Bombyx mori: one gene and its partners. The protein of the gene in region 2 interacts with the protein of the main gene of each other region in a pairwise test. Links are inferred from orthologs where the notes say so. Each region holds a gene or a part of one and is shown on either strand. Other genes may lie near its edges.

Region 1 (8,394 bases), on a different chromosome or scaffold from region 2:
CATTAATGAAATGTTATTTTTCGATGCTTATTCTTTTAAGTTTTCTGAATGGGTGAATTTTGACGTCCACCTCGGAACACGGGGGCGAAGTCTCCAACATAACGTAACTGCGCAATGGAATAACATTATTATCACACATCACAACCCCACTGTTTTTATTGCACAATAGACCCAATCGTTACACACACACACACATAGATACATGGACGCGCCCACACATGTTTTTTTTTTTTTTTTTTTTTTTTATTGCCCTTGTAGGCAGACGAGCATACGGCCCACCTGATGGTGAGTGGTTACCGTCGCCCATGGACTTCAGCAATGCCAGGGGCAGAGCCAAGCCGCTGCCTACCGTTTAATACTCTCCACAAGCCTCGTTTGAAGAAGGACATGTCATAGCGCTCGGGAAACACCGTGGAGGGGAGCTCATTCCATAGCCGGATGGTACGTGGCAAAAAAGACCTCTGGAAACGCACTGTGGATGACCGCAGTGGCTCCAGGTAGTATGGATGAACTCTACTCCGGTGGCGGGCGGTGCGATGGTAAAAACGAGATGCCGGTATCATCTCGAACAATTCCTCAGAGCACTCCCCATGGAACATACGGTACAAAATGCAGAGGGAACCGAAGTCCCTCCGCAGACCCAGAGGCTCCAAACGATCCGTGAGAATGGGATTATCGACAATCCGAACGGCCCTCCTCTGTATGGAGTCAAATGGAAGAAGCTGGTATTTGGGAGCCCCGGCCCAGAGATGGGAGCAGTACTCCACGCGAGGCCGGACTTGTGCTTTATAAAGCAAAAGCCTTTGTCCAGGCGTGAAGTACCGCTTCGCTCTGTTGAGGACTCCCAGCATTTTGGACGCCAACTTGGCTTTGCCTTCCAGATGACTCCGAAACTGGACATCGCTCGAAATCTCGACCCCAAGTATCCCAATACTCTCGGAAGGTTGCAGGGATACTCCTTGGAATTGCGGCGCCATGACAAAGGGGTCCTTCTTCGCAGTGAACGCGCAAACTTGTGTCTTTATCGGGTTGAATTGAACCAAGTTCAATTCACCCCATTCGGAGACTCGCCTCAGAGAGTTCTCCACTTCAGACACAAGTTTAGATCGTCTCTCTTGCACCGCGCTCCGAGAGAGACTCTGATGGCCGATATATCGCGCATCCCCCGTGCTGTCATCCGCATAGCAATGCATGCCATCAATAGACAGCATGTCATTGATATACAGGATGAAAAGCGTGGGGGAGAGCACCGAACCTTGTGGAACGCCAGCGTTAATGGTCATGGTATCAGAGCAGTCACCGTCTACAACGACCATGATGCTCCGCCCATCCAAAAAGCTAGCGATCCACTTGCAGAGACCCTCGGGGATTCCGTAAGATGGTAGCTTCGACAGAAGTGCCCTATGCCAGACCCTGTCGAAGGCCTTCGCGATATCAAGGCTCACAGCAAGAGCCTCGCCCTTGCTCTCCAAGGCTTCAGCCCACCTGTGAGTAAGGTATACGAGAAGATCGCCAGCTGAGCGACCGTGACGGAAACCGTACTGTCGGTCACTGATCAGCTGGCGATCTTCAAGATACTTCAGGAGTTGTATATTTATTATTCGCTCCATCACCTTGGAAAGCAAGGAAGTTATCGCGATAGGCCTATAGCTCGATGGAAAGGAAAGCTTTTATTACTTAAAACTTTTTTTAAACTCTTTAAGTTTAAAAAAGTTACTTTAATTTTACTTTAGTTTAGTTACTTTAGTCTTTTACTAGTGGTCCCGCAGTAGTCGAAATTCGACAATAATTGATTAAAATTATAAGTTTGAACATTACTACGGTTCTATTGTCAAAGACTATTTATTATACTTCTAATCACAGACTTCGCCAAGACTACACTATAGACAAATAACATTAAAGAAAAACAATATTAATCTATTCTCAATTAGACCACAGACTTTAAACAATAAACAAAAGTTTGACAATAATATGTGTTGTCAAAGTTGTATTGTCAAAGTGTGTGTAATGTTTTATTTATTGATTTAGTGTATTTTTATGCATAATTTAGAAAAAAAATATTAACATTCTGCACTCCTTCTCTTTATTCTCTATAAGTGTGGGTAGTTTGAAAACTCCTCCGTCCGCGTGATTTTCGTAAAAAAAGGGGTAAAGTTTTTGCTTCACGTATTAATATTTCTTAGTATTATTACAGGAAAAGTAATTAAGTATTTTATTGTTCATTAATTCTGGAATATTCCGTATCATTACATAAATACCCGTGATTATCCCACCGGGATCCCGGTCACATTCCACCGGGCGAACGAGACTTGAGACTCACCTGTGGGGCTTAAAGAGGCGATCAGAGATGGTGGAAGCATCTTCGGCACCTCTAAGCCGCGCAGTTTCAAGTTTATAATCTGTAATGAACACACAATTTTACTGGTGGTAGGATGTCTTGTGAGTCCGCACGGGTAGGCACCACCACCCTACCTATTTCCGCCGTGAAGCAGTAATGCGTTTCGCATTGAAGGTTGGCGCAGCCGTTGTAACTATACTGAGACCTTAGAACTCATATCTCAAGGTTTGTGGTGGAATTTACGTTATAGATGTCCTATGAGCTCCAGTAACCATTTAACACCAGGTGGGCTGTGAGATTGTCCACTCATCTAAGCAATAAAAAAAAGATCACGGATAGAACATAAGGTGGCGTCCTATGTCTGTGTACGATAGAACATCGATTATGATCGAAAAAAAGGTTACTTTATTTGCAAAAATTTAAAAAAAGCTTCTATATAATAAATATATGTATATATAGTCCATAAGAACCGATGTTTTTTATATCGATGTTTCACTTTTGGAAATATCGATATCCTAACATCGTTATTTTTAATGAGCGATTTTTCAACCGGATACGGACGTTGGCACATTCGCAAATTATGAAGACTACACAGAAACTCACCTTGCAAGCTATAGAGAACTCCTTCAAATCCAGCTTACCGTCGGCGTTCGTGTCCGCCAGTGACCATATTTGTCCCAAGACCGGTGGAGGAAGCTGAGACTGTGAACAGAAAGACAAACAAAACTTATTTTAAACTAGCTGTGCCCGCGAATTCGTCTGCGTGGAATTAAAAAAATATTACTTTATTCTATAATAATGTTACGCCGATAAGAGCAACGCCATCTGTTGTCGAATGGCAGAAGTGAATATCAAAGGAACTAGTAAACTCGAGAACGCTCGGGAAGTACAACGCCATCTATTGTCAGATAACGGAAACAGATATCCACACGACTCGACTTGCCAGAAATCGGAACTACTCGAAGCGAAACAGCGAACGGATCACCTGAAGCGAAGCGGAAAAAGCGAATTACGAAGTATTTTAGGTGTTTAATTTGTACTGTGGTTGTATTTGTGGAAATTTTATTTATCCCGAACCCCAGCGTGTAAAAATAATTTTAGAATTTCTCTAAAATAGAAGTAGCCTAATTTACTCTTTATTCCATCTCGTGTGTTTAGTGCGAGTGTTTTAACGTTCTCGATCGCGTAAAAGTTAACTCAAATTTATATGAAACGAAATAAATATGAAAAAAAAAAATTGTTTGGAGTTGGAACGTTTGCCTACGTTGGTCGCTAGGGGCGCTGTTCCATATCCATACAAATTTGAGTTAACTTTAGGCAGCAGTAGGGCAGCGGCTTGGCTCTGCCCCTGGCATTGCTGAAGTCCATGGGCGACGGTAACCACTCACCATCAGGTGGGCCGTATGCCCATCTGCCTACAAGGACAATAAAAAAAAAAAGTTCTAGATTTATAATAAATACGCAAATTAACTGACCTGTAACATGAATCTTTTAGCTTGTTCGCCCGTCAAATTTCCATTGACAGGTCCAAGGTTTCTAAAGTGCTCCGAGAACTTCGCATGCTCATGTGCTTGTATAGTCCACGGGTCCGCCATCATTTCTGAATTAAAGACGTTTCTTTGAACCTAAAAAAAGATATACCTCTTAGTATGTATGCAGTCTTCATTACAGGAAGCCTAAATTTATAATCATAGAAAAATCCTAATCCTTTTTCATTGTTTAATTTTCAACATTTTGATTGACATTAATGCAGTAATTTTGAGAATATTTTAATTTGGCATTGTATATTTAATGTTGTCTTTGGAAATCAAACAATGCTTCCTTTGGGAAGTTAATATTAGAACAGGTGAATATATCTATATTAAGTTATAATATTGAACTAGATAAACCATCAGATAATATCTTATTATGAGCATGTTTCTGCATATCTTGGTTTATCAAATTTAAAAAAAGAAATGCATATCACGGTTTAAGGTTTATGTTGTACTATTAAAAAAATTTGTTTGATTTTAAACAATAGACATTGCAACATGTTTTTGTTAACTTTTTCCCGACAATCAGGAGCGGTGTCTTTAGCCAAATTGTATGAATAGAATGTCTCCAATATGGTAGGTCATGATAAAGTACGAAAAAGCCTTGATTAATCAAGTGAAAAGTAGACTTCTAAATTTTTCCTATATTTTATCACTTCTCTAAATCTATTAAAGATGTACCTAAGTTCTATTTAAAATATTTGCTCGACGTACAGACGTGTGTCACATACAATAAGTAACTCAACATACAATAAGTATTAGAATACTACAATTGGTAGAGCAGTTCAAGATAATGTTCTTAATTTTTTAATATTGCTAGCTCGTTGTTTTATAACTCCGTGACCCGGATAAAGTTTAAAGATACCTTAAGCACTAATATTCAATACATTTTTTTGTTAAAATCAACGTTGTTCAATAAATTAATAATAAGTACTACTACTCTTTTGGTACCAACAGGCAGGGGGTGTGTCTGCGAACTAAAACAAATATTTAGGAATTAAATTCTAGGGAATTACATAATGTATTACTTACTTTAACTGTTGTTTGACCTAAGAGAATAGATTTAAGACTGATCCTCCTGAAAAAGGATCGAGTAAAACCCCTCAAAGTTCTAGATAAAGTATTGATTTTTTGATTGGGTGCAACTGTCAAAATCGAAATTTGGTTTTTGACAGTTAATTTTTTTATTGTGGCTCGCTCGGTTTGTGCATTAGCCAGTGTCAATTATTAATTATTTTGCCGTTTATAAATAATAAAAAACGAAGGAAACTGTCTATGTTGGCCATTATTATTCTGTGTAAGTAGATATGAATTACATTAGCAGCGTCTGTCATTTTTCATAAAATTAAGAATATAAACTAAAATAAGATATGACTTAAAGATCTTAGTTACCATGTCATAAAATTCCTAAAAAAAAGAGATAGAGATAGAAGTGAGTTATTATTTTGAGTAGAAAGGCTGTATGGGCTTAGATCCCCTTGCCTTTCATAATAAGGAAAAATTGTACCAAAAAATATATTTTGAGTAGAACGAATTGATATAATAAAAAGTTCGAACTTATAAAATGACCAAAACAGCGGATAACATCAACCCTCACATTTACGAGAAGGGTTCAGAACGGGAGATCACTTCTTCGGAACGCGACGAAGACTTGCAAGATGAATTTGATGATCGCGAAATATTTGATTTAATACGAAATATAAATGATCCTGAACACCCATTGACACTCGAGGAGCTCAGGGTGGTGGAAGAGAAGAATATAATCGTTAATAACGATGATAGTACTGTATTAGTCAATTTTACACCGACAATTCCCCATTGCAGTATGGCGACTCTGATAGGTACGTACTTTTTTTAGCATTAAAACCTATAGTTAATGAGAGAGTAACACACACATAACCAACGCACACCGATAATGGTGGAACAGCCAATATTTCTAAATTAATATTATCATACTAATGTTTTTTTATTGGCAAGCAAATAAACATTCATGCCCAGCCAACGAACAGCTTCCTTTTTTTAATTGCGTGGGTAGACGATCATACAGCCCGCTTGGTGGGGAGTAGCTACAGTCCCTCATGGAAGGTAGCAATTTCAGGGGTGCAACTAAAGTGCAGTCTACCGCTGACCATTTTCAATGGATTGATAATGGGTTACCGTAAACTCTTATCTCTCATCTCTCATCTTAGGCAGTTGAAAAGATCTCGCCAGTTATATTTCAAAATTGTCACCTCTCTTTCGGCCAATATGATCGAAGAACTCAAATATCTTCCTGAAGCAGACGATAGAAAGCCTTTGGATATTGAGCTGTTTTAATATGGATGCGTTAGTCTGATATTTTGTCCACGGAATAGTCACTACTGTCTAGCCTATTCCCAATTTGAACCATTATTGTTTTTGCTTAAGAGAGAGTAATTTTAAAATAGGGCTCAAACTTCGAGTTGCTCAAACTTCGAGTTCAGGACTCAAGATGGGTGGCAGTTGTCCCAATGTGATGTCCACGGACATCTGTAATGGCTATAAACTATGAGAGCTGTGAGCTTGTTCATTCCCCTAGTGCAGTTAAACACTTTTGTAGATAATCTGTTCTGTTATAGTTCTAATTAAAGTTGTGAAGCTTCCGGAAAAAAGTACTGCAAGCTTAATTAATGAGATTTGATTTTTATTTCAGGTCTTTCAATACGAGTTCAACTACTCCGAGCTCTGCCAAGCCGTTTCAAAGTGACCGTACAAGTATCGGAGGGCTCTCACGCTTCCGAACATGCGGTCAACAAACAGTTAGCGGACAAGGAAAGAGTTGCTGCAGCTTTAGAGAACAATAATCTACTGCAAATCATCAATCAATGCATAGCTGTTTAATTGATAGGGATAAATTTATTTGTAAGCCAGATTATCAGTGGCTTTGGTCCAAAGAATGCTGGTACGGCATCTGATTCACTTGCATATACATTTGAGGTTATAGACGTATCATTCAATTATCGATCTTAAAATATGATGCCTATGACTTCATTGGTCACTTGCTGGTACCTGTTTTGAAGGAGACAGCTTATATTATTTATTATTGCTTATAAATACTTGAATGCTTAATGGGTTCCTGTAGGACCTCTTGTGAGTCCGCGCGGGTGGGTACCACCGCCCCGCCTATTTCTGCCGTGAAGCAGTAATGCGTTTCGGTTTGAAAGGTGGGGCAGCCGTTGTAACTATACTGAGATCTTAGAACTTATATCTGAAGGTGTGTGGCGCATTTACATTGTAGATGTTCCAGTAACCACTTAACACCAGGTGGGCTGTGAGCTCGTCCACACATCTAGGCAATAAGAGATAAATAAACATTAAATACCTATTTATTTTGTATTTTAGCAGGAAATAAAAGGCTTTCTATTTTATATTTATTTATTGCTCATATGGGTCAAACTTGCCGGCAATGGTATTTAATCTGTCACTAGAGCCCAGGGAAATCATGAAAGTGAAATTCATTACTGCTTGACGTCAGAAAAATATAGTGATCTAGACTTGCAATTGTGTTTTTTTTTTTTTTTTGTCCTACCACCATTAATATTTAGACCTTGTGTTCCATGAATAATGATAATATACACTATGTTTTCAATGTGCTCTGATATCTGTCTACTGGATAATAAAAGTTGATAGCCTAAATAATCATAGAAAAAAAAATGTATATTTTTAGTGAATTTATGTAAAAATATTTTGTATAGTTAATAAATAAATAAATTATGTATGTGGTTTGTTATTTACTGCTCGTATTCGCGGGAAATTTGCACTCAAAAAGTCAAACTCTTATTTTATAAACACTTATATTTTTGTGGTATTCGGATTTTAACAAGAAAACTGAGAAAACTAAGCTAGGAACTAGATCAGCCTTTCTCAAAGTGGGCGATAACGCCCGCTTGTCGCTGTAGGCATAAAGGATGGTAAGAGACCCAGAAAAAAAATGGGGGCGTTGTGTAGAGGCTTGGGAAGCGATTTGTAATTTCGTCTTGGAGGACTTAGACAACGACCGAGGTCTTTCTATAGTGGTTAAGTAGGTGAAAAAACGGGGGCGCTAAAAAATAATTTATTCTCAAAGTGTACTGTAGACAAAATATGTTTGAGAACCCCTGGACTAGACGATACTAATTATATTAATATTATGTATACGAAGATATTATTTTTATTTTAAATGCTAAATCGGCGCGAGAATGACTGACGTCAGGTGACACCTGCGCGTTCAGGAATAAAATTTCGATCGTGCCCAATGACTAGGGTTATAGTATAGTATGTTATTTCGGATAATTTTGGCCTATACTTTATGTGAACAATTACGAACAATACTGGTGTTAGGACCTCTTGTGAGTCCGCGCGGGTAGGCACCACCACCCTGCCTATTTCTGCCGTGCAGCTGTAATGCGTTTCAGTTTGAAGGGTGGGGCAGCCGTTGTAACTATACTTGAGACCTTAGAACTTATATCTCAAGATAGGTGGCGACATTTACCGCTCCGGTAACCACTTAACACCAGGTGGGCCGTG
Region 2 (7,737 bases):
TACTTCAAAAGTTACCGATATATGTGTTAACATGTATGCTATAAACCAGTCTTTCCCAAAGTGGGCGATAACGCCCCCTTGTGGGCGCTGCAGGCCTAAAGGGGGTGGTAAGACATCCAGAAAAAAAATAGGGGCGTTCTGTGTAGAGGTTTGGGAGGCGATTTGTGATTTCATCTAGGAGGTCTTCTCTTAGAGAGGATTTCTCTTAGACACCGAATGAGCTATAGTGCTTTTTAACTACATTAAAAAAAGGGGGTGCAAAAAAATAATTTATTCTCAAAGTAGACAAAATAAGTTTGAGAACCCCTGCTATAAACGAACCGATAGATTTTTCGTAGGATTAAGATTTAAATCGTTATGCTGCTTTCATTACATCGTTATCTTAATAATAATACCTTAAATTCAAAAAAATACACGCGTTTTGTTGTAAAATTGCTGTTTAAAGTAATTTCGTTTTTATTATTAATCAAATATGTATGCAATCGGCTTTGTTATAGGAACGCAAATGCATGATACAGTGAAACGTTTATTAATTAATTGATCGATTTTTGTATTAATGACGTAAATAAATCTTGCGATTTAGTTCAAACGATTCACAATACAGATACAATGTCTAAAGACGACACACAATAGCTAATAGAACCTCAGTTCATTCATTCGCATGTATCTAAATATAACCAATCAGGTCAAGGTGGTTGCATTTTACAGAGGACTCCAATAACAACCTTGCGATCTATTTATTAAACTGGCAAATAGGAGGCGGGCTACGAAACAGTCGTTTTGCATTCAAGCGTGCGTTATTTATGCGTACGCTTCAGTATATTCTTGTTACATACGTAATGGAGACTGAAACGATTACATACATTTTTGGGCCCGAATGTAACGTGATGAAACTAATATGAATTAATAGATTCAGATTTATCAGTACTTTGCTGAAAATTATAAACGTTTTCTCAATCTGAGAGCCGAGTTAATAAAGATTTAGTAAAAGTTAGGTTATGTTACAATCTCTTTAAAAGAGCTGAATAATAACTTATTTAAGCATAAGTAAATGTTTATTATATCCATTAGATAATCTTTTAAATGTCATATTATGAATGAATATCAATGATATATATCAGGTATGTAATATGGAATTGCTATCCCACAATTCACACAGCGATCCATAATTTCAACAGTATCCAATGCAACAATTTCAAGTCAAACGTGTGAGCGATCTTCGGTGTCCAGTATAGAAGCAATTGTCGTACAAGGCTGGCAGAGTTGGAATCCGTAATAATAAAGCAGTGATCGTTGAAAATATAAAAACAGCCCGATAGATACACACTCAAAATGCGTCGAAGATACAAAACGAGTAGAGCAGAAAAAACCAACAAGCGCCAAAAAATAATTGTATAATCTATGAACAAACGTCATGTCAGCTTACTGTCAAAGCTGTCATCAAAAATACAATCGATTTTAATCGATTTGAAATCGATAATCATATTACTTTGCTAAGTAATAATAGACTTTTTCTTCATTTATGTATATAATCGCAATTAAATCCGGCGCATACCGCACTTGTATACAACAAGTATAAATCGCTCATTTAATTACTTTGCATTAATTACCTAGTGCAATGTTTTTATTTTTAGAATCCTGTAATCGATTAATTAAATCGATCACACCGTTATACCGACAAAAACTAACTTTCTCATTTTTCTCCGGTCCCAGAAAGAGGATTGAGGTGATTTTTTATATTCTTATATAAAAAAATATGACAAATTTTTTAGACTACATTCCAAGTTATTACATTTTTGGCCCACGATTTTCCGTCTCCTTTGACGGTTAGTCAATAAATAATGAGTTACACAGTACCATACTTTAACTTTACATAGTACAAGTGCACGAATTAGTGCAAACAACAATGAGAACGTACAAATTTAATGGAGGTTTTTGCTGGTTAAAGAAGCTCTCAGGAATCTATACTATTTAAGGTCTATACAGATAAATGACATTAAACTTTCAATTGACAACATAAACATAAAATTGACACGTCATCATTATTTTAGGCAAATAAATATGTGAGATAGTAGTTCGTATCAATTGAAGCGTTTAGAAATAATAACGATAATTTATTATCTGCACTCTCGGTCCATCCTAAGCGGTGTGGGCATCACTCGTATGCTCCCAGTATTATAATATGTATTATTTTAATTATCCTGTCCGAGAATGTTATAAAAAAATGTATCAGCTAAATATTGATTAACTGGTAGTCTCATAGTGGCTATCTCGCGATCAGTGTAAATTGTCTTTTAAAGATTGCAGTAACGTACATACATCATGCGTCTAATTTTTTTATTTGGCTTAATTCATTAATCCAAAACTGTGATGGTTTCCAAAATACTATTTATATATTTTAATATAGGTGTCCCGCTGTTTGTCAATAATCTTTTTACGCTAAAGGATCTGAGTATTTACTATCTATAATACGTTTGTGTAATAATTTTGCTTTCATGAGCCCAGGAAGACTGTCCGTAATTTCGATACCACAAATATTTTATCATCCATTGTGTCGAAATCCTAAGTAATTAACCCTCAGACACAGCCTACTGAATTTCTCGCCGAATCTTCTCAGTGGGTCGCGTTTCCGATCCGGTGGTAGATTCTGCGAAGCACGGCTCTTGCTAGGGTTCGTGTTAGCAACGTCGTCAGGTTTGAGTCCCGTGAGCTCACCTACTAGTTAAGCGGATTCAGTTTAGGTAGGGAAAAAAAAAGTATTGCAATATTCTAAGGTAATTAGTTTTAGATCCTACAAGGAACACATTACATCTTTTTTATTGTGCGGGAAGCGGAATTAATATACTATAAAACAAGTAAATAAAATTAGTCGTCGAAGTCACTACTTTAATATTTACGTGACAACCCTAAACTTATCTTTATCACAAAAAGACTTGAATAAGTCCAATAGTTCTATAGATAAAAAGATAACTTTCCAAATATTAGTTTAAAAACACTTAATTATTCAATATATTGTTATGCTTAATAATGGGATGTTTTTAGTGAATAATTTAATGTGTTCGAGTTAATAGTTAATAAAATGAATAAAATTTATTATTTACACAGATATTAATTCAACTAGGGCATTTTTCTCGCTATGCTAATTTTAAGCTTATAACAATTATGCATGTACATACCTTATTAGGCTATATCTAATATTCATTGTTTTCATTTTTAAAACGAACCTAAATACTATAAACCTATAAACTATAGTTTAAGTAAAATTCCAGTATTAAAGCGGATTTTTTTCTGGTGCCCAGGAGCGGCATTAAGTTTAAATCTGGCCCTGCGTACAGGCTTTATGCCTTTCTACCATCGTCTTATCGTCTTGATCTCATCTTTCAGTGCAACCTAACAGAATACTTCAGTGCGGTCGATACAAAATGCATGGCGGGTCTGTGGGCAGCATTGTTACACGAACGTCGAGTGGCCATCGTAGCATCGAAACCATCGCGTCTGTCGGCTTGTGTCCAAGCGGCTAACGCGACTCTGTTCCCGATGTCATGGCAACATATTTTCATTCCAATATTACCGAAGCATTTGGTCGATTACATGCTGGCGCCGATGCCATTTCTGATTGGAGTTCCTAGAAGCGTTATGGAGGTAAATAATGTATTTATAGTGTTGCCCAAATAAAATTTTACTGCTTTTTTAATCGAACGTTTTGGCAAAGGCTTCGTCAATTAAATCCCTCAAAGAAATTTTCGTTGGAAATGTTAAGTTTTCAAATATTGCTGTAAAGTTTTTATGAGATTTGGGCCGTATAATTCATATATTTTTAAATATTATATTTATTGTGGGATAGAGAAAAATATAACTGCGATCGTCATGTATTCTTATTATTTTTTAATTTTGTTTCAGAATGTTAGGATGTCTGAGATAGGTGACGTTGTGATTTTAGATGTAGACGCGAATGAGCTTAGATCTCCTTTCAACGACTTGGAGACTCTTCCCCCTGAGTTGGTAAGTAATTTCCGTGCGATATTGTTTACACTAAACGTACAATAAAGATTTTTCTTGAGCATGTAAGTCTCGTCTTCTGAACAATATAAACAAAACGTAAGCGCTCTGTATTAAATGTATACCTGTGCAATAGTTTTTTGGTTTGCACTTCCAGTGATTAGTTATACATCGCGTTAAGAGAGATGTTGCTTTATGTTTGCCCCCCAAAAGATGAAGTGTGTTTGATTTGTTCAATTAATGTCTATGATGAAGAGACGACGGCACCCCTAGTTTTACGGAAGAATCATTACTCAAAGACAATGATAAAAGATCAACATAAAACAAAATGAAAATCCATTACGCCGGCTCCACACATTGGCCCTAGCATGGGCCCCAACGTCACTCGCCTAACGTGTGGAGCTAGAAAATAGCATTGGCTCCAACGTTCGAGCGATCGTCGGTAGTTGGCCGTCGAGTGTCGGTTTAATCAAAGGAATCTGTGCCAACGTTCGGGATCCGTCCACATGTTGGCGCTTTGCTCAGTCCTGTTGCAACATGCGTCGACTGTGCATGTCGCGATGTCATCCACCATCTCCTTTGTCGTGGCTCTTTCTTTTTTTTTAATAACAAATATTAATTATAATATGCACTCAGTACTGTGAAAGCGCTTAGAGCAATTTCAATTCCGGTATCGCACATCTTCACGTAGGCTCTGACGGAAAGGACCTAGTATAACAGCCAACGTGTGGACACTTCACCAAATTAACCGCTTAATGTTGGTAACAACGTTGGGGCCAATGTGTGGAGTCGGTGTTAGCATATTCGTTTTTTTTAATCATAGTTAATAAACAATAAAAATTAAAAATGCCTATTTTAGTAGCTCATGTAGCTCTAATCGTTTATTTTAAGATTTAAAATTTGTGACATTATCACAAAATGCAATTCGAACAAAAGTCTTAGGTATCATTAAATTTCATTGTTGCCCGTATGTGCCATTTTATAGGCAAAATAGATTTTCTAACTAAATAAACGGCTTAGAGGATAGTGGATAAAATTTATGTGTTTATTTTCAGATTTCGAGTTTAAAGAAGGCTTTGAGCGACAAAAACGCTCTTGGAGATGCTGTTTCAAGAGCATTTTTACGCGCCCTTGTCTGTTTAATCGGCGGGTACCGCGATGCGATCAAGTTAGTGATTTGAGTATTATTAATTCGCTTTTAAACATACCAAAGTTTGTATATTAAAAAATAATCTTGTAGTGCTTTTGTGTTGAAAAAAAAAATTTTTTTATTATGTAAAACCAACTTTACATAATCACTGATTATCAAGAACCTTTTAAATAAGATTGGTAATATCTATAATTTACACACAAAATGCTTTACTGGTAATGTAGAACAAATCCGTTTAATTATGGGTAAATTGGCTGTAAATATGAACGCGCATTTGACATTGTGATGATCATCAGAATGCATAATATATATTTTTTCTAGAATTGAAAATGGTCAACTGATTACATTCAATCCAGAAGCTTTTGTGAAAACGAGGAAAAACATGCAGCCATTCCTTAGAAAAATACTACAATCCCAAATATTCCAACAGGTAAGTTCGCATTGATACATATTGTAGCAAAAAAACAATTAAGCCCCTATTTTCAAGAACGTTACAAATACACTACCTATTAAATAACACCATAAAATTCATAAAATATCGCCCAAAAAAAAACACTAAAAAGAAATATGTATATCTTATTCGTCAGTTTATAGACGAAAGATTGGATTTGCTCAATTCCGGACGGGGTTTCAACGATGAGTTCGAAGTAGAATGCAACGCGTACGCGGATAAATTGAACACGGGTAGTGGTCAGAAACTAAAGCAACAGTACAGAGATTGGGCCAAGACGGTCAAGAAAGAAGGTGGAGCTTTCTTCAAAACCGTCAAAGATAAGGTACTGTTCAATATGTTTATGGTGCAATGACGTCACTATTTGTCATTTTGTCGCCTAATACGGGCTGAGAAACAACAAGATTTTATGTTAGTGCTTTGGGATTGATTTTCGTTTAACTAATCGCATATTTAAAATAAACATACCAGAGTGTTGTTTTTGTTAATTTTAATTAAAATGGTAAAGGTTGCATGTAGTTATAATGTTGTCCATAAATGTTAATTAACGCTATTAATAAAAATAATTTATGCTAATAATTTGCAATAATGGACGAAGTTATCATGATGAATAACTACCGGAAATAATGTAGTAAATTATGGGGCGGTCAACGTTTATCGAGCATGTCCGGGAGAGTATCGTTCCCGTTTTAGTAATGACTCGTACTTGTATAGATATAACTTACTAGCCTCAGCTTAGCATTCGGGACTCTAACCTCTACGTCATCGCGTCATTCAGTCATTGTTCCGCTAGTTCTGTAAATGCACGATTTGACAGATTATAGACCACAGAGATAGATCCTACACGACGCGATTATTCTTGCACGCGATTCTCACTCTACAACCCTAACCACTGGTGTTTTGAGTCATAGACTCGGACGCCATATTGTGATACAAATAAGGCTATTTTCTGTATGTGTTTAATAAAGTTATATAAAAAAACGCGCATTATATAATTTAAAAGAATAATCTAAGATAAAAAGTTAAAAGAATCTCTAAGACAAAAAAATTAAATTACTTTTCAAATAAAAAGGGGTTAAACTCTAGTCTAGATAAACTATTAAATTTTCGTTCAGATTATTATCTGTTCAATGAGATGAATAACACAAATAGATACGGATGTATAAAATTACAATATTCCCACATGAAAATGTTAATTAACGTCAGTAGATAACACGAAATGTTATGTTCTTTATCGCATCATTTATGTTGTTTATAAATGAATCTGTTATTCCGTAACGAATAAATGATAAACGTTACATTAAAAACCCACTACTTCAATTACGTTGATTATGAATATAAGATTTGTATTATTTATTTGAATGTATATATTATGTTTAAGAGTATTTAATTTTCTATACATGTTAAAAATTGAATATCATAATATATACATCTACACTAATATATAAATCTACAGTGGTTTTTACGGATGTTCCGTTATAGCTACTGAACCGTGCATCCGATTGACTTGAAACTTGGTATCATGTAGAAAATACGAGGGCGGCACTGAAAATTTCGGGAATTAACGAAGTGACACAACGTTACTATTTAAAAATGTATTTATTGCTTTTCGAAGTATTCTCCGCGAAATTTGACACATTTTTCCATACGATGAAACCAATCATTGAAGCAACCATTCCATTCGGAAGTTGGGGTCTCCAAAATGGCCGTTTTGTAGGCGTCCACAGCTTCTTCAGGTGATGAAAATTTCTGTCCACGCAATTTATTCTTTATTTTAGGGAAAGTATAGAAATCATTAGGGCTTAGGTCGGGGCTGTACGGCGGATGGTCTAATAATTCTATGTTTTCTTGCTCTAAAAACTCTTTTGTTCTGTGCGCGGTGTGAAAACTCGCATTGTCGTGATGGAGGATGATGCGGCGGTTGCAGTTCTCTTTACGGAGTTCAGAAACGACCTGTGGCAAAGAAATGCTAGCATACCATTCTGCATTAACCGTTCTTTGTCCCTCAAGAGGAATAGTCGTAACATGGCCTGTTTTGGAGACAAACGTGGCCACCATTTTTTTACAACACTCCGTGAACGAACAGTTTTTGTTGGCTTTAACTCATTTTCGAACACCCAAACTCGTGACTGTTTTT
Region 3 (8,508 bases), on a different chromosome or scaffold from region 2:
TATTGTGTAAAAATATGACTAAGATATTAACAGCGTGGACATGAATCAATTTCGTATTTCTTAGAAATATTTATTGCAATATTGCATGAGAAAAGTTCGACAAAAGAAATTACAAGTTCTTTTTCAGTAAGGATTAAACTTCTTCTTATCAGCCCATGGACGTCCACTGATGGACATAGGCCTCCCCAAGCCTCGCCACAAAGACCGGTCCTGCGCTGATGTATAAACTGATGTACAATAATAGACTAAATACATGGATTGATTCAGTTCTCTAAACTAAATTTCCAGACGAAATCTAAACAATTTCGAGGCAGCTTCAGCACGTGTTGATGCAATAACGTATCGTGGGTGTGAAATTGTAAACGGTATGTACCGCCACCGATACAGGTGTGCAAAATTATTCTTAATACTACTTGTTTGGAAATATTTATGTATCCATTTGATCAGAAGATACACTGATCATTATTAGAAACAACTTTTTTGGCAGCCAATTGGCAAAAAAAACGTGGCTTTTATTATTTCGTCATGTCTGTCTGCATTTAATAGCAATTTTGTTCGGCAACTACTACACATTTTACGTGGACTAAGTATAGTAAGGCCAAATACAAAAACATAAAATGAACATTGAATAAAGTTTATAAAACATGTAAGTTTCAAACAAAATGATAGTAGATAGTGCCTGAAAATTTGACATTTATCTCCAAAATTTACTCAAAAATGACATCTTGTGAATAGATATTAATATACGTTAATTAATAGTGATCATATATTTAAAGGAACTAGAGGTCCCACAGTAGTCGAAATTCGACTATAATTAACTGGAATTGTAAGTTTGTACACATACTATAATCATAAACTTCGCCAAGGCTACACTATAAAAAAATATTAATAAAGACAAACAATATTTAATCTATTCTCAATTTGAATTTTGAAGTCGTTGTGGCCTAAAGGATAAGACGTCCGGTGCATTCGTATGTAGCGATGCACCGGTGTTCGAATCCCGCAGGCGGGTACCAATTTTTCTAATGAAATACGTACTCAACAAATGTTCACGATTGACTTCCACGGTGAAGGAATAACATCGTGTAATAAAAATCAAACCCGCAAAATTATAATTTGCGTAATCACTGGTGGTAGGACCTCTTGGGAGTCCGCACGGGTAGGTACCACCACCCCGCCTATTTCCGCCGTGAAGCAGCAATGCGTTTCGGTTCGAGGGGTGGGGTAGCCGTTGTAACTATACTGAGATCTTAGAACTTATATCTCGAGGTGGGTGGCGCATTTACGTTGTAGATGTCTATGGGCTCCAGTAACCACTTAACACCAGGTGGCCTGTGAGCTCGTCCATCCATCAAAAAGCAATAAAAAAAAATAAAAAAATTTGACCAAAGACGTCAAGAACAAAAGTTTGACAATATAGTATGCATGCGTGTGTGCGTCAAATACATGGTATGTGGTGTGTGTAATGTTTTCTTTATTGATTTAATGTATCTTTTATGCATTAGTTTTAAAAAATATTAGCATTGTGCACTTCTTCTCTATATTCTCTATAAGTGTGGATAATTTCAGTCTCCTCCGTCAGCGCAATTTTCGTAAAAAGGGATACAAAATTTTTGCTTCACGTATTAATATATAGATAATGTGATGTAAAGGCAAACTGCCTGAAAAATTGCAATGTTTTCATTGCTGTAGTAGATAAGTAGGAATTCGTAACTTAGCGTAGATTTTTTACTTTCGAAATTAGTTTCCATTAATATAAAAGCCGAGTTTAGAAATTTGCGACTTGTAAACGATTACATGCTATTGTATTTACTTTATACTTTATAGGTAGATCGTCACTCATGGATGTCAGCAATGCCAGGAGCATTTTATCAGTCGTCGTGGCCTAAAAGATAAGACGTCCGGTGCATTCGTGTTGACCGATGCACCGGTGTTCGAATCTCAGGCGGGTACCAAGTTTTCTAATGAAATACGTACTCAACAAATGTTCACGATTGACTTCCACGGTGAAGGAATAACATCGTGTAATAAAAATCAAACCCGCAAAATTATAATTTGCGTAATTACTGGTGGTACAACCCCTTGTGAGCCCGCGCGGGTAGATACCACCACCCCACCAATTTCTGCCGTGAAGCAGCGAGGCGTTTCGGTTTGAAGGGTGGGGCAGCCGTTGTAACTGTACTTGAGACCTTAGAAACTCTTGTCTCGAGGTGAGTGGGGGGGCATTTACGTTGTAGATGTCTATGGGCTCTGGTAACCACTTAACTCTAGGAGGGCTGTGAGTTCGTCCATGCAAATAAACAATAAATATCCATCTCCATAGCACACACAGTACAAACACAGAAAGAGCCGTCTATCCAAATGGATCTGTGACATAATTTTAAAACAATTATTTATTACAACAACAATTTATTTTAGCTGAACAGATGGGTGAACAGATTCACGGCCCATCTGGTGTTAAGTGATTACAGAAGCCTACAGAAACTCAACAGAACTAGTTCACATGATGAATATGAGGTAAATTTTACAGCTTTACAAGTAAAATGAGTAGTATTGTATTTGTCATAGTTTGTTTTTTTTCTTTATTGTTGACTGTAGAAGGAAATAAAGTTTAGTCATTCTAGAAAATTTGATAAGGATGGAATGTATTTATTTGTACGTATTTCAGATGGTGTATTTTTCTTATTATTGAGATAAGAAAAATTCTGAATTTATCAAGTTCTCTATCTATCTTATGACCAACCTTCCATGAATAGATAAAATGTTTTAATATTCACTCAGTTTTAGAATTCGCACACATGGTTAAAACTACATTTACAAAGTATTTATTTACACATTACATTTTCTGACGTCCTAAATACATTTATCTTATAATGGTTTTTCAATGTTAAATTGCATAAGACTATAGATGGTTCTTTTTACTCTTCATTTACTTTATTTATACTGCAGTGACCCGTGGATGCAAATGCTGGTCATTCACCTGAACTTAAAATGTAAATGTTATTGTGATTCCAATATATATTTTTAGATAGCATTGCTATAATGTATTTTTCTGTTAAGACAAAGACAATTTTCCCTTAGTTATAAGCTGTAATATACTATATACATACAATATTAGTTTTATAAGTATTACATAAGGGAGCTTTTTATTTTATTACTAATAGACTCTATTGATAAAACATTTAGAGAAACACTAAGTTATTTACATGCAAACATACAGAAAACATTCCATCCAGATAAAATTGTTTATTTAAATAATAATAATGAACGGTCTTCTGTTGGAATGATAACTACTGATATCTACTTAAATGATAACACCTAATGATCTCTCAACACTTAGTCTGCGACATCTGTTCATGACTTAACCTAGCCTAATCTATCCTAAGAAGCAGGGAGCCTGGAGATCAGTAATACAGGTCTTTGAACCTAGTACAGACTGCAGTTCTTTCAAAGGCTAACAAAATAAATTGTAAGGTTAATCTCTATTTGTATTTGTACTATAACTTTAAAAGAGAAATAATAAATAATGATTATTATTACTGTGAAAAATAATAAACATTACATGTAAAAATACAAAGGACTTACTTGACTGATAAGGAGAAGTCGCCAGGGCTTGATTCGCTGATCCTTATCAAGAAGCCACCTTCAGGTTTGTTTGCTAAGAGTTTTTCTGCATCTGCTCTTGTAATACGCCCATAATACCAACTGAAAAAGAGAGGTTATGTAGGCACACCTTTAAAATACAAATACTTACTATTTTCAAATTAATAATTACTTAAAAATTATGGTTTTTTTTTAATATGTCCCAAGACAGTTTTTAATCCTTAAAACTGGTGGATAGTGAGAATTTACACCGTAATATCTATAAGCTCCTGTAACTACTTGACACAAGGTGGTTTGTGACCTCATTCTGACATCCAATTCATTAAGTCGATGCACTGGATGTGCTTAGATTTCTCTTCCAGTCTAGCTGATACAATATACACCACACAATACACCAGTAAGGTATAAACAAAAAATAAGTAAATGTTCTACAAATATTTAGAATTTTTATTACTATTATTACTAATAGTAGTTTTTGGTGGTCAGGTATGCTGTAAGCATACACTGTATGTGTGTCTCTGTATACCATATTTGTCTTGCAGCAATTGTGCCTTTAGGTTTGAACCTTAGGACAGTTATTATCACAATGCAATTGATACTGCATCTCACATCTCAAATTAGGTGGTCATGGTAGTATGTTCTGCATTCATATTATAGTACTACTCAACACTATGAATTAAAGGAGCATTTGTATCACTTCAGGCATAGCCTTCACATTAATTTTATTGCTTGGCAAAGCATTAGCACTTACAAAATCAACAGGTTTATTTCTGATGTATAATCAGATTCTAGTTGAAGAGACCATTCTCTTTAATATATGTTTAATAACTACCTTCTATCTATTCAAATCTTTTCTCATTGAGAATCATGAAATAAAGTTTAGTACTCAAATAAAAAAAGCACTTTTCGTAATTCTTAATTGTGTAATAAAAAATACACCAAATTTATAATTTACTTTGAAATCAAATATTGTTTTCTCCTTTCAAAATACACTTCATATGTTTAAAGACACTTTGGCTTTTATTATTACAATTGGTAATGTAAACAAACATTTGTTGATTAGTTTAGTGGCAGCTGGTAAGTTACATGAAATTTCTGTTGTGTATCTATAAATAACATTCATTTTGTATGTTCTTCTTCTAAAGAATAATGAAATGACTTTGTAGATTAGGTTTGGCAACACTCTCCGGATACCATAGTAGTTAAATGTAAATAAAAATGAGTAGACCAGCCCAAGTTTAATTATAAACAAACAATGTTTACATTATCAGTTTTCTTCAGCAAATGTTTGGAATGAAATGAAAACATTCTTTTTCTAAATTTTATCTGAGATCTCTACATAGCTACACAAGAGCAATATCTTCTTGCTTTCACAAATAAAACCTAAGTCAAAAATAAACTGGTTATTTTAATTAAGAATATTTTAAAATCGTTATAAGTATCAGTTATAATTTTAAGACTAGAAATATTAGATATCCCACTTACCTGTGATTTTTCATTTGTATGTAATTACTAGGAATGAGCCCTTCTTTCCCGTCTAATTCAGCTCTGTACCAGTTCATATCGTCCTCCATGTTTAGAATCTGCAATAGGAACCATTCTAGAAAGAACTATCGCTAGGTATTAAACAAAACAAAAAGTTAAATAAATATTTAACTTACTTTTAATACTTGATTTTTTCTAAAACTGAGCTCATCATCTGCGGTTGCAGTAAAATCGTGTTTTGCTAGAGCCTCCATGATCAAATTAGGCACTTCACTGAAATGTCACCGAATTCTTAAAAATAACTCTTAAAGTACACAAACTTTCCAAAATGTCTAATGTCAAGGAAGTAAAATAATCATAATGCACGTATTGTCTCACAATGTTGAATAAAAAAGATGCGTTTTAGTTACAAATTTAGAAAAACCCAATCGGAATCCGTCTGTACTCAACACATCACTCACTTTACAAATTGACAAAAAAATCAAAATGTTGCCACTTTGCAGCTGTGTTTTTAGCTCGAAAATTTACTTGCATTCATGTGTGTTTTTGATACTGGCAAGGAACATAACATCAACTTTACCTGTAAAGACTAAAAACAAATTCATTCTACATTTGAATTGGATCTCACTTATAAGAATCGTCTACTATAAGGATTCGTAAAACATGTAGATGAATTTAAAAACCTAATTCATTATGAAAATATTGAAATTGACTAAAAGATTTAGATTCAGACGCCCCAACTAAGTTTAAGAGACGAATTGCCATCAAAACTTAGGTCTAAATTTAAACTTTTCAGCAGAATGTAGACTAGAAGGACGACTATGGACGAAGGACGACTTGCCATTAAAGACCACAAAATGATATTGCCTGAATGGTAACTTGGCTAATTTTTTTTCACTTTCAGCATATACATATTTCTCATTAAGGAAGACCGAGAGTGAGAAAATAGACAGAGCGTCTCATGAACCACTCGACCGTGGAGAGAGGGAAAGGACAAAGTGAGCTAGATAGTTTATCTTATATATAGCATTCCTTATTAATGGGGAAATTTGATTTAAAGATGAAAAATGAAGAAAACCACAATACTACACACCACAAAAGAAGTTTCCCTTTTTTCACGTGCACCAAGTTGTACACGCACCATATTTTTTTTAAATATTGTGGTTGTGATGAAATATTCTTTAACTTCATCGATATTATCTTACAAATAATCACTATTTTACATTTCGTTACTGTTGTGTTTATTTTTGCTATTTATTTGCTTGAACGCGTGAGCGAGATCAAAGCCCGCCTAGTTTGATGTGGTTACCGAAGCTCATAGACATCAAAACATGAATGCCAAATTATGACATGAGGTTCAAACTAGCAATTGGATTCTAGTAATAACTGCCTTTGCCTTTCTAGCCGGCATCAAGTTTAATATGATACAAAAGTTCCGATACGTGAAATAATTACCACTTAAATGGAGGACTATAATCAGTAAATTGTAACATATTTTTGCCAAACAGAAACAGTTTATTGCTATCCAAAAAAATAAGGGCAATAGCATGTACTTAATTTTATTTACAACTGCAAAATTAATTTTGAAAAATTCATAATAAAAAATCTGCTTACAAAAATACAATTTTGCTAATTCTCCTTTCTTAATTTGAAAGCAAATAAATACATAAAACCAAAAAAATGTATAATAAAATTAGAAAAGTTTGATTAAAAATATAATAACGTTATATTACGCAGCTGACATTCTTTAAAATAAATTGATTTTAAAAGATAACTATGTACATAATTTGGGAAACAAAAAATCGCAAGCTAAGTCATTTCTACTTATTTTCCGTTAAAGTAAAAATAAAACTAAGTTAAAATAGTAAACTATTATTTTATTTATTGAAGTATAATTTCAAAAATTCGTTTATCTGGGATACATAACACGTCAAACGTACACGTTGTATTTTATCTTTTAACCTCCTCAACCTCTCTTCTTTTTTGTGTATTATTACTATCAAACTTTATGGACATTACAATAAGAATTCAGACGACAAATTAATTAATTTCAATTAAACGATAACCTTTGAAAATCCATGATATTATTATTCATAATCTGAAGGAAAGCTAATTTAGACAAAATTCTTTAGTTTTTGCTGAAGAGGTATGGCTTCGATTTTTGTGTATAGTATAAGCTTTATTTTCTTTGCTTGTTTGAATTCTAGTCCAAGGACAACTTTGACAACTAGTTTTCATTGACATATTTGACACTTCTTTAAGTCCATTTCGCCTCCCAGTGGCATTATACGCGTAAGTAATAAATCGAAAAATTGTTTTTACATCGTTTAATAGAACTTTTAATGTGTTGTGTGATCAAAATGTATGTTTAATAAACAAGAGTAAATTATCAGTATTTGATCACTGAATACGAACATTGTCAATTAATCGTGTGGTGATTTTTCAGGTTTAGTCGTAACTCAAATAAGCGCAACGATGTCGGGAGGATTAGACGTGCTCGCCCTCAACGAGGAAGATGTCACCAAAATGCTTGCTGCAACCACCCATCTTGGGGCAGAAAATGTTAACTTCCAGGTAAATACATACAAAAATATTCAAATCTGTTATAAACATAACCTAACAAAACCATGATGATAAGAGAATCCGTTCCATTTTATTCTGATTATTGTATGACGATTAATTCTCCCAACTGAGCTTCAATTACTTAATAATAAGCTCTGCTTTAAATGAGTGGTATTTGAAGAAAATGTTGCAAAACAGATGGAGACCTATGTCTACAAACGACGTGCTGATGGTACCCATGTGATCAACTTGCGTCGTACCTGGGAAAAACTTGTTCTGGCTGCTCGTGCTGTCGTAGCCATCGAGAACCCCGCTGATGTGTTCGTCATCTCATCACGGCCCTTCGGTCAGCGTGCTGTACTGAAGTTTGCCGCGCACACCGGTGCTACGCCTATTGCGGGACGTTTCACACCAGGTGCTTTTACTAACCAGGTAATAAACCATTAAACTATTTGTTACTATGTAATGACATTTAATTATTTATTGAGTGTACTTCATCTACAACCCAAGTATGTTAGGTTTTCATGAGTCAAATGGGAATATTAAGTAAATTATAATATTGATACATTTATTTTTATAATTATTTCTTAAAAAATAATGTGACACATTGAAAGTAACTAGAAATTAATAAATAGAAAAACATATGTATTAAGGTCTTTGTAGTTTTGTAAGGTTGTTACTTGGCAGATGCTGCCTTTAGAGTGAATTATCGTTTTTTTTTTTTGTGTGATATGTAAATTGCCACCTTTTTAAAGTAGATTAGGTACTGTACAAGCTGTTAGGCACACATTTTAATTCTCAATACATTGATCTGTTTTCATGTATTAAACACATATAAACTTACTATATTATGATGAC
Region 4 (8,537 bases), on a different chromosome or scaffold from region 2:
TGAAGTTGTGTGAGGTTATTTGTTATGTTATGTTGTCGTTTGTGAGTGGAGATAAAGGAGTTGAAAGGTTAAAAGAGTCGAGTAGGAGTTAAAGGTAAAAGAGTCGAGTAGGAGTTAAAGGTAAAAGAGTCGAGTAGGAGTTAAAGGTAAAAGAGTCGAGTAGGAGTTAAAGGTAAAAGAGTCGAGTAGGAGTTAAAGGTAAAAGAGTCGAGTAGGAGTTAAAGGTAAAAGAGTCGAGTAGGAGTTAAAGGTTAGAGTCGAGAAGGAGTTAAAGGTTAGAGGTCGAGAAGGAGTTAAAGGTTAGAGGTCGAGAAGGAGTTAAAGGTTAAAGAGGTCGAGAAGGAGGTTATTAAAGTTAGAGGTTGAGAAGGAGTTAAGGTTATTAAAGTTAAAGAAATAAACTTGAAGAGTTTATGTAGGGAGTTGAGAAGGAGTTTATAGTCAATGTTTTATATAATGAGTAAGAGGGAGGTTAAGGTTGAATGGTAGTATGGTTGAATGAAAGTACATTTTTGATCGAATTGGAGTTGGAGAAGTAAGAAAGGATTAAAGGAAGCGACATTAAAGATGGTATTAAGTTTGAAAGGTTGAATGAATAGTTGTTGGTTGAATTGAGGGATTAAGTGGAAGTAACGGAATGTAAGTGGTTGTGAGGTTTTAAGGTATGTATGGAAAGTAATTCATTTATGAAGGTCAGGTTAGCGTTATTCTTTTTTGGTATTAAATTATAGACGGAGAAAAATGTGTGCAAGTGTTGAGGGGGTGTGTTGGAGTTTGTATATTAAATGTAATGGCAGGCAACACTTGACACTTGATTAGATTTCGAATATTGGAATTATTTTAAATGTTTTAAAAAACAGATCATTGTATTCTCGTAAGAAAATGTCAGTGACTTCTCATCTAGACACGGCATGAAAAACATGTAATAGTTTTATAAAAAATATAAAGATAAAAATTGTATAATGGTGTAAAAGTGTTAAAGCTATCTGCAATATAATTATAATGAAGCAGTTGTGTTTTTAAATAGCCCCTCATCACCTACAGAACCCAATCCCTTCAAAAGATAACCGTCCAACAATGACTCTGTCTGTTGACAACAAATGACAAATGTTTCCTTTCCAAAATATTACATACTAGCGACCCGCCCTCGCTTCGCTTCGGAAACTGTAATTTATTGTTGATTTCTCCACTATTTAATGGATATTATTATACATATAAACCTTCCTCTTCAATCACTCTATCTATCAAAGAAAACCGCGTTAAAATCCGTTGCGTAGTTTTAAAGATTTAAGCATACATAGGGATATAGGGACAGAGAAATTGTTTTATTCTATGTAGTAAAGTTCAGTTTTATTTCAGTGATCGGCCGGTACTACACTGGAACCGACCGTCGACTATTACAAGGTTGAATTTCGACGTCCAATTAGACAGATACGGCATGATACCCTCAGCCTAACCAGATACAAATCAGTGCTAGGTACCTACTTCAGAAAAATAAACCCTCATAGAGTGCAAGCTAAATGGCAATGGACTAGACATATATGTCATAGATCCGAATATCACTAGAACAAACGAGTTCTTCAGCGGAGACCGCTTTTGTGGCACACGCCCAATGCTTGTGGCGTCTCCTGACCAGACAGCGCGATGATTTACGAAAGCTGACCGGTAGGAAGTGGATGAGGAGAGCCGAAAATAGTGCTCAGTTATAGAAACTGGGAGGTGAACAAGTGTGGGCTGGTGATGATAGAGAGCAGCAAGATTTTCCACCGAGCGGGTGTCTTGGCTCGTCGACGGTCCAAATGTGCCATCGGAATATATACATTAATATTGAGAATGTCGCTAGCACGATTCAAGCTTATTGCCAGGTTTCGTTTTATTCTATGAGTGCCACTGCTGCAAGTTTTCAAATATACCGAATGAGTAATGGGTGTGCTTGGGCGAAACCAGAGTAAAAGCTTATTATAATATTTATTTATTGCTAAGTCGGGTGACCATCACGGATCACGACCTGCTAAGTGGTTACGGGAGCCCTTAGGTATCAACAATGTAAATGCCACCACCCACCTTAAGACACGATTTCTAGGTCTCAGTTCTATAGTACAACGGCCATCCCACCCTTAAAACAGGAACATATTACCCTACGGGCTCATAAGACGCCAGTTTTTCTGTAACTATTCAAGAATATTATAGATAGGCAGCAAATCATTTGAGTCACAGAGATTACTGATGTCGATCCCCATCTGGAGGCCCAATGCCCGTCTGTTTGATGAGGTAATAAAAATAAAATATACTAATTAAATTCGGTTAAATAGAATTTAAGCCGAGCAAACAAGCTGTGTTTATCTTTTATAAATTTTTTGTAGATGTTAATTTATCGATAATCTAAAAATAATGATGACCTTGAACGATTATTGTGTTTCAACAAATAATAAATTTGAAATATTTAATTGTTTTTACGTTACGGTTAATACAATATAAAATGTTTCATTTACCGAAAGCTGTCACATACACTTGCACTATGAGTATTGGTATTGGTGGTAAGTTTTCGAATATTAGTTAAAAAACAAATGACAATTTTGTTAAAAATGCTTTCTGTATCTTTTTTGTTTTGCTAGGTATGAGAAATTGCGATACCTATAAAAATGGGGCGTTTCTAGAAAAATCAGTGACATGGAAAGAGCCGTTTGGACAATTCAAATGTTGGTTTGAAGAAGCTCGCGCTACGAAAAAGATTCTGGAGCCCAGTGCAATGTGTCTAGCCACAGTTTCACAGTGAGTTACATTTTAAACTAGACTGCGTTTTGTAAACAAAGACAGTTGATATCCTAGCCACATTAACCAGCACAAAAACTTGGAAATATTTAGAGTCCCCATTAGTTTTTTGAGAAAAAAAAAAAAATTAGATTCTATAGAAAATACCGGTGAACTCAATTAAGTTTATTGAACGTAAACAAAATATAATATTTTACCCACTTCTTCTTCTTTCTTCTTCGTCGCTTTCTTCATTGCTGAAGGTCGTGTCCCTGAAACTCGACCGTTGCCTGTCTCGTGAGCTGTTTCCATCTCGTCCGGTCCTCAGCTGCTCGAATGGCGGTTGCGACTGGCAACCCAGTTAGAGCGGTTACTTGATCACACCAACGGCTAGGTAATCGGCCGCGGGGTCTCTTTCCTTCTACTTTGCCCGTCACAATCACTTTGTCCAAGTTAACTGACTGTCGGCGGGAAATATGACCGAAGTAGCTGAGGATCCTCTGGTAACAGATTGTTGAGAGCCTGACTCGGATGCAATTAAATGTCATTAAAGTGGCAGTTCGTGAACACGTATTGCAAACCTATTTGCTTAGAAATATCGCTATCTTTTAAAGGCGTCGCATCGTAGCTACAAAGGTTAAAACGTCTGGTGCATTCGCATCTAGCGATGCAACGATGTTCGAATCCCGCAGATGGGTACCAATTTTTGTAATGAAATACGTACTTAACAAATGTTTACGAATGACTTCCACGGTGAAGGAATAACATCATGTAATAAAAATTAAACCCACAAAATTAATTTAATTTGCGTAATTACTGGTGGTAGGTCCTCTTGTGAGTCCCCACCGGAAGGTACCACCGCCCTGTCCATTTCTGTCGTGAAGCAGTAATGCGTTTCGGTTTGAAGGGTGGGGCAGCCGTTCTAACTATACTGAGACCTTAGATGCACGTTGCAGATGTCTATGGGCTCCGGTAACCACTAAACAGGTGTGCTGTGAGCTCGTCCACCCATATACAATAAACAAAAAATAAAAAAAACTGCTTGGGAGAATTTAGCCCCAGAATAGTCGCATCAATCGATATCTAACACCGGGCGTCGTATCCATATACAAAAGCAAACATAGGAAATACCCCTATTATTGTTATCATAAGAACATAGCTAGGCCGAGATCAATGCTGTTGAATTAATCTTATTCAGAGATTTTTATGAAGATATATGAGGGTAATGTTTTAAGACTTATCAATTTTTTATCCAAACAATTACTCATTGCATTAGGGATCTGGATAGTTATGGTTTTTAATGATTATTTCAGGGAGGGTTTTCCGTCAGCCCGATTTGTATTGTGTAAGGGTTATGGTAAAGAAGGATTCAAATTCTACACAAATTATGGAAGTAAAAAAGCTAAAGACATAGTAAGTCTTTTATATTTTTTTCAAGAGGACCCTATGCCATATAATTATTGATTTGTTTATTTGAAATCAACTCAATTTTTTTTTTAAACCGAAATTGTTTTAAGGAATATAACCATAATAAGAGTATTAACGACAAATAAAGATTCGCCTTCAAACAAAGGCACCTTTTAGATTTCCTTTACAGTAAATATATTTAGTATATACTCGTATTATACAAACACAATGCATTTTTATCACTAAAAATCTAGAAATATGGAAAAAACACTAGGAAGTAGAGTAATATCTACGAATAAAAATTTGAAAGTTTTCAAATTTAAAGGTCCATCCAATTAACATCATAATAATGATTTACATTTTCTTAAGGAAGGGAATCCTAATGTTGCTGCTACGTTTTATTGGGATATCCTGAACAGATCGGTGAGGATTGAAGGCACAGTCGAGAAACTCTCAGAAGCTGAAAATTTAAAATACTTTCGCACACGTGCAGTGGCCAATCAGATAGCAGCATGTACGAGCTACCAAAGTACACCGATAGTTTCTAAAGATATCCTATGTCAAAGGCAAAAGGTTCTTGAGCAAGAATATCTGATACCTGGGAAAGAAGTCCCAAAACCAAGTAACTGGTAATTTTCATAGTATTAAACAAGCAAATTTTTTTATCGAGACTTTCAACACAGCGATGTTCATGTTTTATTAAATTGTGTCGTCATTATTACATTATGTAATCTCATTATTTTACAATAAAATTAAATCAACTGGTTTATTATGAAAAAAATAACACAGTTAAATTTTTCCAGGGGAGGATACCTCTTAGTTCCTAGGTCCGTTGAATTCTGGCAGGGTCATAATGACAGATTTCATGATCGCATAAAATACAGAAGACCATACAAAGGGGAAGTGCCAGATCAAAAACTATTGCACGAAGGCGAAGGTGGGTGGGTTATCGAGAGACTTTCGCCATAAATCCTGAAAAATAATGTTTGTTGTTATTTAAATTTATAATTTATTAATTTAATTTAATCATATAATGATTAATAATTTAATCAGTTAAATAAATAAAAGCAAATGTCTATTTATATGTTTGTCCTCTATGCGTTCCTAGGATATATGAAACTCTATTGATAGTCCAATCAACATACTATAGGTGACGCGCGAGTAGTTTCAAGAAGTCGACAACGATATGTAGCCACAGCATAATAAAATGGTTTTACTACCAAATAATTTTGTTTCTTCTTTATTAATGTTAGCTTATTAATTGTTTAGCATCTATGAAAGCACAGAAGAATAGGAAACTCTTCTTCCAAATGTATATTGTGTTCTTAGCATAGATAGAATACACATAACATTTAAGCATAGATTATACACTTAATATATTTGAGATAGATGCGCAACTCTCATTTTTATTTTTGCTTTAGTTAGAGCCCGGGACAGCAGGCGTCGCTGCTGTCGATTATTAGTCTCCCTACCCCCCACCAGGTGGCTTTTTTAGTAATTTTAATATTTTTTATAATTAACTCTATGAAAAAATCTTATCGTTTAGAATCGCTGAAATTCCCGGTAGTACTTATGAAATATTAAAGAACGTTTGATTGTGTTCAGCATTCTAATCGATAAGACCTTTTCATACAGAGAGAAAACAGTTTTTTTAAATAAAAAGCTGTAATTCTCTGTAAGCTATTTAATTTCCCTATATTACAAACAATTTACTGTTAAAAGATAGTATGAACGTACAATTGTATAAAATTTCGAATAACAATAACTCCTCTAGATTAATCCTACTAGAGTACTTAATAACATTAAATCGAAAGTTATCTAAAAGTTAATTAAGTCTAGATAATCAAATCATTCAATGTCACTTAAGTCATTTGTGCGAAATATAAACATGTCAGCTTTCCATTACAAACATAGTAGACAATTTGAATTAAATTTAATAAATTTGTTTCTTAACTATAGCAGTTCTTGCTTAAAGTTGATCGTGACAGATCATGACCTTGTATGAAAATATTACATCTATAAACACTACCTATGCTTCGTCATACAATAATTGTCATTTATACTAGCATTGTAGAGATAATACACACACTAAAGTGAATACTAAATTATTCTTAGCATTCTTATAAACATTTAGAAATTTAAGAAACTATTAACCCACAATCATGTTCATAACATGTGACATTTTGATCTGCACAAACGTTTTATTACATGATTTGAAAAACAAAAAATGTTTAAAAAATGTAATGATGATTTAAAGTACTCTTAAATATTGATAGTTTGTACTTAATGACGCTTATAGTAATCTTAGACATGATTACATTAGTTATACTTTTATTCCCTATCTAAATTATTTCTATTCTGACGTTTCTGATGCTTTAGCTTTGGTAATACTAGATGAAACAAACAGCAGATTGAAAGAAAATCATCTTAAAGTTAATTACATTCATTACAAACCATTAGTTTACATTTTGTTACAAAAGAAACTGGTGTTCGTTACATGCAAATGAATTATAAACATACACATGCAAACATAAAATGTAAATTTATCTTTTAATCCAAATTAAATGTACACTAATATTACATCTAAATAATAGAAAGGGTTTCGAAAATTTTTATTGCACTCAACAGCAGACGAGCACGCAACCCGGCCCATGATAAGTGGTCACCAGTGCTTATAAACTTCAGCAGTGCCATAGGGGTTGCTGTCTATCACTTAAGTTTTAATAAATTATTAATATACTCAGTCACAAGCATATTGATTTCACATAATGAAAATGTAAGAAACATAATCATGTTTGGGCATTTTCATTTATATCTGCTCATACAGAAAACACAACTTAGCAAATATATTCCACAGTTAATCTAAATAATTGCAAATAATGCTTTTAAAGACCGTTGACTTTTGATCATTAATTAAAATCATCTTCTCGTAGAATTTACAAAAGGTTATTTACAAAAATTTATATCAGTATTTTCATATATTACTAACTTACTAATTACAACTATTCAAACGTAATACTATAACTATAAGAACTAAACAACCTATTTTAAAACAAAATTGGCATCAATTTAGTTCTTATGAACTATTTCAATTATTAATTTATCAATTATAAACATATTTAAAAAAAATTAAGATCCCTTGAGAGTTCACGTTCCTTGCTGAATCAGTTTCTCTTCTGAAACGGAGAAACAAAGTATCTTAAGTATGTAACAAATATTGAAAAAATACGACCATGAAAAATTTAGTGTTAATGTAATCTTACTTACAAATTAATATATTACATAACACGTTCTGGTTCAAATATAGTGCATCAATCTTTTCATGTTTCAGACATTTTAGTGCTCCTTATAATTTTTCCATAAAATTTTGTCATTATCAAACCTTTGTCTACAAAAATAAAAACATTATTTTATATTGGGTAGAAGGATGAACGTGGTCACAGGCCACTTGGTGTAACTTAGTTATCAAACACCAGGAAACAAAACGTGAATGCCATCATCTAACTTTGGATGTGAGATCAATTGTGCTGTATTTTATTTAAACAGGAAAGCATGACTGATTGATCATTCCAAAAAACTAGTTCGGGCCCACTTGACAATAAGCATATAATACGCTGAGTTGCAAAACATAAATACTTCCACCCACTCGAGACAATTTTATTATCTGAGGTGTGTGTGTGATAGTACGAGACTTAATACCGACTGTTTTGATCAAAACTTAACATATATGATAGCTAGGCAGCAGAAATAGGAAGGACCATTAGTTGGTGCTAATTCATTTAATTATATTATGAATAATAATTCTGTTAGCAAATAATATACCGGGAAAATAGTGTAAACTCACCGTTATCAAGGCATCCGAAATAGCATTTCATTTTCGATCTTCGAGGCATGCTGATTTTTAATAATAAACATTCTGTAAGAAATGAAAATAGTTACACAGGCTTACGAAACGCTAACGAAGAAAAAAGTATTGGAGCCAAGTTATGTCTAAAGAGAATTCAAAACAGAGTTTCTCAATGTCTAATCGTCTAATATTCTCATAAAGCTAAAAGTTGCTCTAAATTAATACTACAACGTAAAATAACTCACACCAAGACCAAAAAAAAACGATTTAAAAAATTAAATCGTTACGACATTTTGAAAACTTTTTTTTTTTTTGAGATTGTTTTACGGCCCTGGAATTTTGAAAACTTCAAAGCAGTGTTTCCACTTACGTTTTTTTTAACACATTTTACCCTAGTTTCTTTTGAATTTACCCTAAAATTTCCTAGACAACTTTCATAAATCCTTTATATAGAAAGCGTAAATAAAATACAGAAAATAAACCACAGCATATTATTTAATGTAGGTATATATAATATAAACGCCCCCAGAAG

Evidence for each region.
Region 1: the proteins of DENN domain-containing protein 1A (region 2) and intersectin-1 interact in a two-hybrid assay, tested with the Caenorhabditis elegans proteins (2 studies listed by BioGRID). The link is inferred for Bombyx mori from reciprocal best matches to the Caenorhabditis elegans genes rme-4 and itsn-1.
Region 3: the proteins of DENN domain-containing protein 1A (region 2) and DRK interact in a two-hybrid assay, tested with the Caenorhabditis elegans proteins (3 studies listed by BioGRID). The link is inferred for Bombyx mori from reciprocal best matches to the Caenorhabditis elegans genes rme-4 and sem-5.
Region 4: the proteins of DENN domain-containing protein 1A (region 2) and ras-related protein Rab-35 interact in a two-hybrid assay, tested with the Caenorhabditis elegans proteins (2 studies listed by BioGRID). The link is inferred for Bombyx mori from reciprocal best matches to the Caenorhabditis elegans genes rme-4 and rab-35.

What each region holds. Positions count from the first base shown.
Region 1 is NC_085117.1:632,336-640,729, forward strand, and holds the start of intersectin-1, read right to left. Parts: upstream 5,038-8,394; 5' UTR 4,903-5,037; intron 3,964-4,902; 5' UTR 3,937-3,963; coding exon 3,814-3,936; intron 3,041-3,813; coding exon 2,942-3,040; intron 2,400-2,941; coding exon 2,321-2,399; intron 1-2,320. Other genes in the region: MIP18 family protein galla-2, read left to right, coding at 5,435-5,711, 6,542-6,729.
Region 2 is NC_085107.1:6,840,401-6,848,137, reverse strand, and holds part of DENN domain-containing protein 1A, read left to right. Parts: intron 1-3,384; coding exon 3,385-3,642; intron 3,643-3,900; coding exon 3,901-4,002; intron 4,003-5,054; coding exon 5,055-5,167; intron 5,168-5,470; coding exon 5,471-5,579; intron 5,580-5,736; coding exon 5,737-5,925; intron 5,926-7,737.
Region 3 is NC_085123.1:5,828,144-5,836,651, forward strand, and holds the start of DRK (DRK protein), read right to left. Parts: upstream 5,343-8,508; coding exon 5,265-5,342; intron 5,187-5,264; coding exon 5,089-5,186; intron 3,706-5,088; coding exon 3,586-3,705; intron 1-3,585. Other genes in the region: RpSA (small ribosomal subunit protein uS2), read left to right, coding at 7,564-7,662, 7,849-8,082.
Region 4 is NC_085122.1:8,795,370-8,803,906, reverse strand, and holds the start of ras-related protein Rab-35, read right to left. Parts: upstream 4,962-8,537; intron 4,788-4,961; coding exon of another isoform or gene 4,528-4,787; intron 4,165-4,527; coding exon of another isoform or gene 4,065-4,164; intron 3,516-4,064; exon of another isoform or gene 3,274-3,515; 5' UTR 2,970-3,273; intron 2,773-2,969; coding exon of another isoform or gene 2,616-2,772; intron 2,538-2,615; coding exon of another isoform or gene 2,480-2,537; exon of another isoform or gene 2,364-2,479; intron 2,272-2,363; exon of another isoform or gene 1,360-2,271; intron 1,011-1,359; exon of another isoform or gene 1-1,010.